Macaca fascicularis: one gene and its partner. The protein of the gene in region 2 purifies or fractionates together with the protein of the main gene of each other region. This does not show direct contact. Links are inferred from orthologs where the notes say so. Each region holds a gene or a part of one and is shown on either strand. Other genes may lie near its edges.

Evidence for each region.
Region 1: the proteins of ATP11A (region 2) and TMEM30A purify together in Homo sapiens (co-immunoprecipitation; 4 studies listed by BioGRID and IntAct, with this or other methods). This does not show direct contact. The link is inferred for Macaca fascicularis from reciprocal best matches to the Homo sapiens genes ATP11A and TMEM30A.

Annotation. Positions count from the first base shown.
Region 1 is NC_088378.1:99,839,008-99,845,302, forward strand, and holds the start of TMEM30A (cell cycle control protein 50A), read left to right. Parts: upstream 1-2,725; 5' UTR 2,726-2,757; coding exon 2,758-3,303; intron 3,304-6,295. UniProt on the Homo sapiens protein: Accessory component of a P4-ATPase flippase complex which catalyzes the hydrolysis of ATP coupled to the transport of aminophospholipids from the outer to the inner leaflet of various membranes and ensures the maintenance of asymmetric distribution of phospholipids.
Region 2 is NC_088391.1:103,275,039-103,280,667, reverse strand, and holds part of ATP11A (phospholipid-transporting ATPase IH), read right to left. Parts: intron 5,475-5,629; coding exon 5,347-5,474; intron 3,158-5,346; coding exon 3,022-3,157; intron 1-3,021. UniProt on the Homo sapiens protein: Catalytic component of a P4-ATPase flippase complex which catalyzes the hydrolysis of ATP coupled to the transport of aminophospholipids, phosphatidylserines (PS) and phosphatidylethanolamines (PE), from the outer to the inner leaflet of the plasma membrane.

The sequences.
Region 1 (6,295 bases), on a different chromosome or scaffold from region 2:
TAGCACCAAACATAAAAGGAACCCAACAATCATATTTGTGTGGCAAATCTACTTTGGTTAGGCAGTGAAAAGACCAGCTGCAGTTTCCTCTTCCTTGTTCCCAGAGATACCCAATAGTTACTCTTCTGTATTTTTTTCTTAGATGTTTCTGGTTACTGAATTCAGTGGCACAACACAGCAATTGAACTAAAAAATGAAAATTGTATAAAACTTCCCATCCAAAGGCTAAATATATCCACCTTTTCAGATTGTTGGGCTTGCATCTGTTCTATCATTTTGGATTCACTTTTGTATTGGGGCTCGTGCATTGACTGCATACTTAGAATGTTAATCTGATAGCATTAGTAAATGTCATTTAGCCATACAAATTCCACTTTTACCAAGAATCAGCACATGAACAATCATTTGAACAATGTAAGTGTAATCTAAATGTATCAACATACATACACACAAACACACACCAGTCGCTCCTAGCAATCAGTTTGAAAATGTGTAAATGGTAAACCATTGTGAGAACTATTCTCTTCTGTTGCCCTAGAAATGCTGAATGATGCTTTTTGAAAATTCCTACTTCAGCAGATTAAATGAAAAACCACCTAGTAAGGACTATCATAAAATAATGTGACCAAGAAAATCACAAAATTGTGAGTCCCCTGAGATAATAATGTAGAGCTGAAAAAAATGTTTCAGCTGGGTAAAGATGCATATTGTGGTGGCAGAATACAGTAGTAGAAAATGAAATGGAGGGATATCAAGACATCTGGAAAAGCAATTTCATCCATCTGGACCTCATCTGAAAATGTTAAGTTTTAGAGAAGAATCTCAGGAGGTTTCAGTTCTATAAATGTTTCAGTCAAAATGGAATTTCTAATAAAAAAAGAGACAAGGGATTAACTCATTTTCCTATGAACAAACAAAAATAAAGAAAAAGGAAGCAGATAAATACATCACAATCACTCAGCTCACTAGAACAAAACCAAAAAATGAAGGTAAAATGACCATTTATACAGAGTGCTGGAATAGCAAAATATTAAAAAATGATCAAATTTAGTGGGCATGATGATATAGGCAGAAATGGGGAGGAAAAACCTGCCTTATATGTACTTTTGCAATATGCCCATATTTTGGCATACATTTTTACTAACAGAACTTAGCAAAATAAAAGGATTCCATGACTTCTCCATTAACTGTGATAGATTGTTTCCTATTTGAGCCTGGGGTTGAAGGTAAACTTAACAGATCAAAACAAAATATAGACCTAAGTATGTCAGCAGTGCTAAGAATTTGAGCATGAATGTCATGTAAGAGCAAACCCAAGCAAGTCGGTTATTAGAGGGCAACAAGTATTGTATCACTCTAAACTCTGCCTAGTAAGTATGTGATTGGCTCACATTTTTTAGACTTGTGGTCATTTTGAAAAAAATTTAACTGTAAATTTTTTTTTTTTTTTTGAGATGGAGTTTCACTCTTGTTGACCAGGCTGGAGTGCAACGGGGGATCTCGGGCTCACTGCAACCTTCGCCTCCCGGGTTCAAGTGATTCTCCTGCCTCAGCCTCCCGAGTAGCTGGGATTACAGGCCCGGCCACCACACTCGGCTAATTTTGTATTTTTAGTAAAGACGGGCTTTCATCATGTTGGCCAGGCTAGTCTCGAACTCCTGACCTCAGGTGATCCACCCGCCTCGGCCTTCCAAAGTGTTGGGATTACAGGCGTGACCCACGGTGCCCGGCCTAACTGTAAATTATGAGGACCAAGCACTCCTTATTTTCTCTTTCCTCAGTTTAACTTATTTAAGGCATTACTGCAGACTAAGCCTAAAAGTAATTTATTTTCAAATGATGCGACTTACTCTCTGGCCTAGACTTCAAAGATGTCAGTATAATGTGGATTGTATATAATTGTTTAAATTTTACAAATAACATACGCCTATTATAGAAATTTTGGAAAATACAGAAAAGTGCAAAGAAACAGGAAAAAAAAAATTCCTCCATCCGGTCAACAGAGTTACCATTATTCACTTTTTAGTTCCGCTCTATATTATACTTCTACAGTCGCTACACTACTCTAATATCCTGACTTAGTCACCTTTTACATCACGAGTATTTCCTTGGGTCATTAAATATCTGGCACTTTTAAAGTGTTTACGGGGTATCTTATTTTGTAGTAATGCTATATGTCCTGGTTTTTACAACAGTAAGAGAAAAAGCTACAGCCTATTACAAAACACTTCCTATATCAATGCGCAAAAGAGAAAGGTGGACATAGAAAAGGGGAAAAGTAACGTGAGAATCAGCAATAGAGAAAAAATAAGTGAGAATCGCTTAATTAGAGGCAAGATAATAGGGCTAAGTCACATTATTGATTCTTGACTTTAGGACAAAAGGGGTACATGTTACGCACCTGTGTTCCAAGTTTATAATTGCACCTTGAATAGCGATTTATTTAATTAAACTCGCGGTTTTACAACCTAAGCAAATACTGCTAATTCTCCCCCGACTCAATCCCCCTTGAGGCCGCCTTTTAAATGCTCCGACTCCCTTCAGAGAAACCCTCGAGGTAAAAAGAAAAACCTGTCTGGCAATCCAGACCTGCAGTCGCCACTATAACCAGAGTAGCAGGCAGGTGTGTGCTAACTAAAGCCACGGCCAACAGAGCAAAGATACGCCTACAGCGCAGGCTCGGAATCCCCTAGCTCTAGGGCCGCGCATGCGCCAATGTAGCTTCGCGCTCGGGTGGCTGAGTCCGTCACAGGACAGATGATCAGGGTGCGTCCGCCTTTTCCTTCCCCCTTCTATCCTCCTCCCCTTTCCCCTCCCCTTGTCCCTCCTTCTTCTCCCTCCTCCCTCTCTCCCTCCCTCTGGCGTCTCCAGCCGACTTACGCTTCCTGTCCGCGGCCTTTGGCGGAAGAGTGTCCCGCCTCTTCCGCTCCACAGCGGAGGCGGCTGTGGCGGTGGCCCTGGTGGCGGCGGCGGCGGCAGCGGAGCTCGAGCGGTTCCTGTCAGGGTCAGCCGGCGGGCCCCCTGGGTGGTCCACCTGCAAGTGGCGGAGCGGTGCCCCGGGGATCGATGGCGATGAACTATAACGCGAAGGATGAAGTGGACGGTGGGCCCCCTTGTGCTCCGGGGGGCACCGCGAAGACTCGGAGACCGGATAACACGGCCTTCAAACAGCAACGGCTGCCAGCTTGGCAGCCCATCCTTACGGCTGGCACGGTGCTACCTATTTTCTTCATCATCGGCCTCATCTTCATTCCCATTGGCATTGGCATCTTTGTCACCTCCAACAACATCCGCGAGATCGAGGTGAGGGGAGGGAGCTGTGGTGGGAGTTGGCGTTGCTCGGGAGGACGGTCCTACGCGCCCGCCCCACTCCTTTCCCAGCGCCCTGAAGCCAGTTGACAGGCAGACCCCGCGCCGCCCACCACCCCCTTCCCTCTGTTTTTTCTTTCTCTTTCTGCGGGTTTCCTGAATTTGCAGCTTTGTCCTAGCTTTGTCTTGCGATTTACGAAAGAGCAAATCGACGGGATGAGCTGAGACGGAATGAATGTTTAATGCAGAAGATGGGTCAGGTGGAGAACGCTTCTTCAGTAGGCGGTTTGTGTGGTTCCATGGGGGATTAGCGGGGGTTGTTCACGGAGGTAAAAAGAGAAGTGGGGGCGGGGGCAATTGTAGCTAGGTAGATGCAACCCTGAGTGAATTGACAGGGTCAAAAGTGTCATTACCTTTGTGGGCGTTATCCGAAGACACAGAGATGAACACCTTGGCCATTGTTGGGAAAAGAACCAGAGTCGTAGAGGTATTGACGATTCTAATGTAAAGAAGCTGTCGCATGTTATCAGGTCACGTATGAGGACTTACGACAAATGTGCATAGTACTTTTCATTTTGAGCTAATTCGATATTTTCAGTTGTGGGGCAAGATACACAGGAAAGATAACCTGAAACTTCAATTCTGGTTTTGCTTTTAGGCTACGTTTATTAATGGGCCCTACATTTGCTGGTCTTTTTTTTTTTTTTTTTTTACAAAAAGAGCCAGTGACCACATTCAGGGAGTAAGTTGTCCACTGTCTACCAAACATTTTACTGATACTAACTTTGCTGAATATGTAAGACATGACAGGAAAACTTGGGGAAACATTTCTTTGTCAGAAGCACAGTATCTTTATCTGTAGGGGTGAAGATGGTTGATAGTACACTGTATTAATATATGCTGTATAGGTGTCCAGTATTAAGCATCTCTCATCTTTTCTTGCATATCTGAGAATGTTGTTGTTTTCTAAATCTATTTGAAAGGGCAGGAACTAGTAAGAAGTTCTCTTGATTCCTTCTGTTCTATTTATACACACACACACACATTTTAATAAATATACTTACCTATGTGATTTAATGGGACTTTGAGAGTAATTTTATTTTTAACTACTGAAATAGGGATGGGGTTCCACTTTAATTTGCAGTGTTCTCTCTAAAAGCAAGATTCATGTGTTTTGTAATTCTACAGTGCTTACTTCAGTGTTGACGACAGTAATGAGAATAGTATCTATAGCATAACTAGTTTTAAAATTTTTTACTAAAAATTTATTCTCAATTTAATAACTAAAGAGTTACAGTATTTTTTTCAGCATGTATTTTAGTTTGTTTTATCACCTTAATCTCCCTAATAATCCTGCAAATGTAGTACTTCTTGTTCTAACCATACTAGGATCACACATTATATTAGTATATGGGCAAAGTGGTGTCATGCAAGGAACATGGGCATTGGCTGGGGTCAGGCAGAGCTGGTTTTAAATTCTAGCTCAGCTACTAACCATCTCAGTTTCTTGGAAAATTTCCTTAATCTCTCTGAGCTTCAGTTTCCTGCAAAATAGGTAGAATAATTCATATCTTCTAAGGTGTGAGAATTAGAAGCAATGTAAATAAGATGTCTGGCAGTAGGGATCTGTCTCCTGATCCTTAATCAGGAGATGAGAAAGAGAGAGTTTGAGATTTGACAGTAAACTAGTTAAGAGTATTATAAAAAATGAGACAGAAACTCAGGTGTCTTGACTCCCAGCTTTAAGCTTTCACCCTACACTAAGATCCTTACTGCAATGTTAATAAAGTAGAAGAAAATAATTTAACATCTGAAATTTGAATGATTTTATTTAAACTTCTTAAGATAAGATGAAAATAGCAATAATTTGGAATTGTGTATAAGTTAGTATTTTCAGAGCTCAACTTCCATTAATATTTACCATAGTAGAAAAATAAATGTTTAACTTTTCTTAAAATCTTTGGGTTTTGGAGTAAAATAAGGTTCCTCACACTAAGTAGTAGACAAAATAGAAATTTTTCAAATAGCTCTCATGTGTAATTCTGATTTCAAGTTGCCTGAAGAATCTGCTGCAGCTTAGCCTGGTTAAAAGGGCACTGAAGAGTCAGGGAATTAGGGTTGAAATCCCACCTCTGTCACTCTGTACTTTGTGATCTTAGGTATAATTTTGAGTCCAGTTTCTTTACTTGAAGAACCAAAAGATTCAGATTAAACTGCCTCTAAGAGGCTGTTCAACTCTAAAATTCTATGATATCCAATTCAAATGTGATTTTTAAAAAACTGGATGTGTTTAAATTGTATTGCCTTTGGAGCAAGAGGAAATGAAAACTAAGAATAATTTAGAATTTTTTACTGACAATGAACATACAGTTGTGCAGACAGAATCCACATATGTATTTTTAAAGTTTGGATGCTGGATATATAGAGAAATGCTTCTGAATTGTGTCTGGAGTTATTAGAAAAACCTACGGAGATTCCCCAAACACACATACTTGTTTCCTTCTTGTTCTCTACTCTGTTAGCCACTAGTTGTAATTGGGTAATGAGAAGTTCTTACCAACATTCACTCTCATACTGTAAGTTACTCACACTTTATTTTTTATTTGAGAAAATCTTCATTGCTATATTAGTTCAAATTACTAGGGCAAAGGAGACTTGTCAAATCCAAATGCTTTTGTAATATAGTTTAAAGTGCCAAAATCAAAAATTCAAACTTTTTCAAGTATAAAATCACTGGATTTTTCTCATTCCTGCAGAAATATTGCACTAAAAATTACTACTTTTGAAAAGTGTCTTGGATACCCCTGGAAAAAGATATTTTCACATTTTAATGCTTACATTTGGTAGCAGATTTCCTCTACTTGTTAGATTTATGTATCTTATTTAGTTGGTTTTTAGATTTTCAATAATCTAAATAAAATGAGGCTAATAGAAAATCATAATTCATCATTCATGAGAAAATATTTTAAATATTTAATATCTTCAT
Region 2 (5,629 bases):
AGAGGGCTGTCAGCCGCTAGGACTACCCCCAAGTTCCGTGAGTGCTGGCATCACGCTGGGGGTAAGTGCGGGTTCTGTGGGGCTCAGGGTACCTTCCAGGATGTAGCCGGGGGCTGGAGGGTACAGCCAGAAGAGACCAGGAAACGGGAGCCTGTGGAAACCCTCAGATTCCAGGAAAGGCAGCAGAGCCACAGTGCCCACTGACCACCAGGTACAGCTGACCAGGGACACGTCAGGGTTCCAGGGGTCCAACAAGGTAGAGACGCTGCAGAGTCCCTGCCAGGAAGCCCCTGGCATTGCACTGCCAGCACCTCATTTAGGAGCACAGCCAGCAGCCCTCCTAGGACAGTAGCACCAGTGTCCTCGCCCCTGAAGTCCACCTCCAGGGGCTCTTGGGAGGCACCTTCACATTCATGCTGAAATTCAGAATTACAACAACCCAGAGGCCGCACCAGGCAACACCATGAAGTCTGATGCTGGACGTCTGTGTGTGACCCAGGCCCTGCCCCTCGGGAACTGACCCTGCACAGGGTGTCTGATCTGTCCGAACTGCTCCTTCCTCAGCTTTCACGTGATCTGAACGTCCAGCTGAAAAGGATGGTTATAGTGAACCAGGACGACGTTTGTGAGAGAAAACTGGAAAATCAAGTGCGGGAAAAAGGGGACTTGCTATCGCCACGGCAGGCTGCCAGGAGCCTGGAGTCTCAGAGCTCAGGACACTACGTCTTAGTTCTTTTTAAGGGCTACACAAGATGCTTACGTAAGCCCGACCCGGAGGAAAATCTCATAAAAGATACAAAAGAATCAACATGATGACATTCATGGCCTGGTGGCATTCGGGAATTATTCAATTAAAATAAACTAAGACAAAGAATAAATTCTAAAAAACCTAAAGCTTTTAAAACAGTGAAATAACATTTGAATGGATTCTCAAGATCGACCTGGTAAAAACGGATTTAAGTGATGACGAAGGATAACAGCAGAGTTTAGTAATGAGAAGTGAAAATGACTAAAGCAGGTAGACAGTGCACAGGACACGCAGAGGGACGTCTGTGTTTGAACCCAGCAGTCTGAGGGACAAACACACATGGAGAGAGAGGTCAGGCTAAACCGGGAACAAAGCCGATTTCTGTTTAGAAGTCACCCAGAAGGGGCTGCTGAAGAGAGACTTTCTCCGAGGTCAGCGCTGGTGTTTGCTTGTGCGGCTAAAGACCTGCGGCCTTTAAGCAGGGATGGTCTCTGACATCTACTCAGCGGCTGGCGCGGCTCTCTCAGATAGCACGGGGCCCCACCAGGCCTCCCACACACGCCTGTGCTGCTTTTAATTTAAAGTCGAGGGAAGCTCCCATCAATCCAGTCAATTCAGAAAACATCCCTGACTCAATGGGCCACCCTGACATGGAAACCGAGGCAACACAGCAAGGATGTGTGTCAGGAGGCACACGCCCCTTCTAACACAGAGCTAGCTCCTGGGTGCGTGGGGCACACGCCCCTTCTAACACAGAGCTAGCTCCTGGGTGTGTGGGGCACACGCCCCCTTCTAACACAGAGCTAGCTCCGGGGTGCGTGGGGCACACTCCCCCTTCTAACACAGAGCTAGCTCCGGGGTGCGTGGGGCACAGGCCCCTTCTAACACAGAGCTAGCTCCGGGGTGCGTGGGGCACACGCCCCTTCTAACACAGAGCTAGCTCCGGGGTGCGTGGGGCACACGCCCCTTCTAACACAGAGCTAGCTCCGGGGTGCGTGGGGCAGCAGCGGCTAACAGCGTTTCCACCGACAAAGCACACAGGAAGTCACGTTTGAAAATATTTTCGAGAAATATTTCATTTGTAATGCACTCCAAAAACACAGAGAAACGACAAACCCACGATTGTCTTACCACGTGTGTGTTGGTAGTCATTATCTGAGGGTGGGAAGGGAAGCCAGTGGCAAAAAGAAAAAAAGCAAGATACAAATAAAACAAACCCCCAGGGATTAGGCAACCAACCAGAGACTAAATGTTCACTAGAAAACTACAAATCTCTTCATTGCAAAAGAAGCAGACTTAAGTACGGTGCTCGGGGAAATCTAACACGGGCTCAACGTGGAATTCATTCTCATATTAAAAATGCAATGTCTAGGCCGGGTGCGGTGGCTCATGCCTGTAATCCCAGCACTTTGAGAGGCCAACATGGGTGGATCATGAGGTCAGGAGATCGAGATCATCCTGGCTAACACGGTGAAACCCCATCTCTACTAAAAATACAAAAAAATTAGCCGGGTGTGGTGGCGGGTGCCTGTGGTCCCAGCTACTTGGGAGGCTGAGGCAGGAGAATGGTGTGAACCTGGGAGGCAGAGCTTGCAGTGAGCCAAGATCGCGCCACTGCACTCCAGCCTGGGCAACAGAGCGAGACTCCGTTTCAAAAAATAAAACCCAAAAACAACGCAATGTCTAAATTGTGTAATTCTACCACTAAGTAATGAGCTGATGGTGAACTGTAACCTACAGAGATAAAGTCTGAAAACCTCAGCAGGCCAGCCGGGCAGGGTGGCTCACGCCTGTAATCCCAGCACTTTGGGAGGCTGAGGCGGATGGATCACGAGGTCAGGAGATCGAGACCATCCTGGCTAACACGGTGAAACCCCGTCTCTACTAAAAATACAAAAGAATTAGCCGGGCGAGGCAGCGGGCGCCTGTAGTCCCAGCTACTCGGGAGGCTGAGGCAGGAGAATGGCATGAACCCAGGACGCGGAGCTTGCAGTGAGCCGAGATCCGGCCACTGCACTCCAGCCTGGGCGACAGAGCGAGACTCTGTCTCAACAACAACAAAACAAAAAAACAAAAAACCTCAGTAGGACATTTCCTTCCAGTGACACTGAGCACTCAGATAATGCGACCCGGAGCGACGTGCATGTGGCGATCGACCCCGTTGGGAAGCTGCGCGGGCTGCACTGAATTACTGCTTTGACAAAATCATCATACAGGCTTGGGAGGGTTTATTCCCGAGCAGCTGAGTCGGCGCGCTCGAGCTCCGTACTGACCTGCCCGTTGCTCGTCACAGTTGTATTTTCAAACATGAAATAAGCACCAAAGAAGAACACCAGTGCGTCAAACAGTCCCAGGAGCGTCCAGTAGATGAACACTCGCCAGCGCAGCAGGGCATTCTTGGCGACGTCCCTATGTGAGGAGAAAAGTGCACAGCGTGTGTCCTCGAGAATCAGGGCTCGGCGCCGCCCCCGGGCTCCGGGGTGGCCGTCCCTGGACGTTGTCTTCATGGGATAAGATGTGTGTGGCCGGTAAACACGAGGTTTGTGCTCTGGCCACAAATGCGGCATGTCCGTCACAACCAGCATTTTACTACCCATTCATGTCCTTGGCTAACTTTTGCTTAGATTCTTTCTCTCATATTCACTGCAATATCGTCATAGGCAGAGAGATGCAAGCCATGCGCTGTTGCTTCTGAAAGTAACGAACACGGAACACAAGGCACACACCTGACATTCACTGAGCTTGTGACACCTTACACCTGACGTGACACCTTACGCCTGATGTGACACCTTACAGTTGATGTGACACCTTACGCCTGACGTGACACCTTACGCCTGTTCAATAAGATAGAATTTGCAGGATTCCTTCTGGATACATGTCTAGAACGGTATATCCTCTCCCGTTTTCTCAGATTTATTCCCAATTATTAAAGACGTACAACAAATTTTTTATCGTCGTCCTTAATCACCTACAGTGATTATTTTTGGGTCCAAGCCATCAAGATCCCATAGAATGGCTAAATATTCTGATGAGGGCAGCGAGGCTGATGCACGGATTCCTGCAGCATCCTGGGCAGGGAAGCGCGTGGTCTTGGCTGTGGTGGTAGATGCAGGAACCACGCATGTGAGAAGATTGCATAGAACTGAACACACACAGACAGGTGTCATGTACACACACGTACATGAGCACAGGGAAAGCTGCGTGATCTGAATAAGGGAACAGGAGAATGGCATCAACATCAACACATTGGATGTGATGCTGGACTGCAGTTTCTTGCATATCACCACTGAGAGACATGGGATCAGGGTCCACGGAATCTATTATTTCTTTTTTTTTTGAGACAGAAGTCTCGCTCTGTCACCCAGGCTGGAGTGCAGTGGCCGGATCTCAACTCACTGCAAGCTCCGCCTCCTGGGTTCATGGCATTCTCCTGCCTCAGCCTCCCGAATAGCTGGGACTACAGGTGCCCGTCACCACGCCCGGGTAATTTTTTGTATTTTTAGTAGAGATGGGGTTTCACCGTGTTAGCCAGGATGGTCTCGATCTCCTGACCTCGTGATCCGCCCCTCTTGGCCTCCCAAAGTGCTAGGATTACAGGCGTGAGCCACCGCGCCCGGCCGGAATCTATTCTTAATATAATCTAAATCTATATTATTTCTTACAACTGCATATGGATGTAAAATTATCTGAAAAACAAAATTCTAATTTATGATAGGGTTTGGCTGTGTCCCCACCCAAATCTCATCTTGAATTGTAGCTCCCATGACCCCCACCTGTTGTGGGAGGGACCTGGTGGGAGGTGGTTGAGTCATGGGGGCGGTTTTTTCCCATGCTGCTCTCATGATAGTGTCTAAGTCTCACGAGATCTGATGGTTTTATAAAGGAAAGTTCCCCTGCACACGCCCTCTCGTCTGCCACCACGTAAGACGTGACTTTGCTCCTCATTCACCTTCCGCCATGACTGTGAGGCCTCTCCCCAGCCGTGTGGAACTGTGAGTCCACTCAACCTCCTTCCTTCATAAATTACCCAGTCTCAGGCATGTCTTCACAGCAGGATGAAAACGGACTAATACAATTTAAAAGACCATGGAAAACAGTAACATACTGAATCTTCCAGAGACCTTGGGGGGCATTTCTGAAATAGCAGAAAAATATCTCTTCCATATTATTAAAAAAAATATAACTTTTTGGGAGAAAAGACACCCTGAAAGCAGAGCTGTTAATTTTTCTTTTTTCTCACTGAATGGAACACACATGGTTTTAAAGGGTAACTTAGGCCACAGACTCCCTGGAGTCACAACGAGGAAGACGCTGGTACCCCGGCTCCCTTAGGACTGTTAGAAAGCACAGGAAAGTGCAAACTGGCTCCACACAGATGTTCCAAATGCAGCGTAAACCATCCAGCAAGGCTTAAAGAGTCTCCCTTTGAACTATGTTGCTTCCAGTTTAAAGAAGCTCCTGACCAGGCAAGAGTATCAGTAGATGCTGAATGTTTCTGGCCCTTAACTGGGGTCTGCCAGGTGGCTACTGGAAGAACTGCCAGAGTGCTGCCTGGTTATTCTCTGTGCTCTCAGGGGAGGCTGTGTGGAGGATGGTACCTGTACAGGGTCGGGTCTCTCTTAAGCACGTCGATGCCAATATGCTGCTCCATGAGGCTGTACAGGAGGATGGGGAGGGAGGTGAAGCTGATGTTGTAGAGGGTCAGATACGCGGTGTCGTACAAAGTCTGTAAGAGGAAAGACACAAGGAAGTGGCGCCTCAGTGCATTGTTACAAACTTTCTGGATCTTTTGATTAAATATATTTTCTTTCTGAAATGCCTAGAAAGATCAGAGCACTTTTCAAAGCTTAACGATATAAACTAGGGTCTGTGAGATCAACT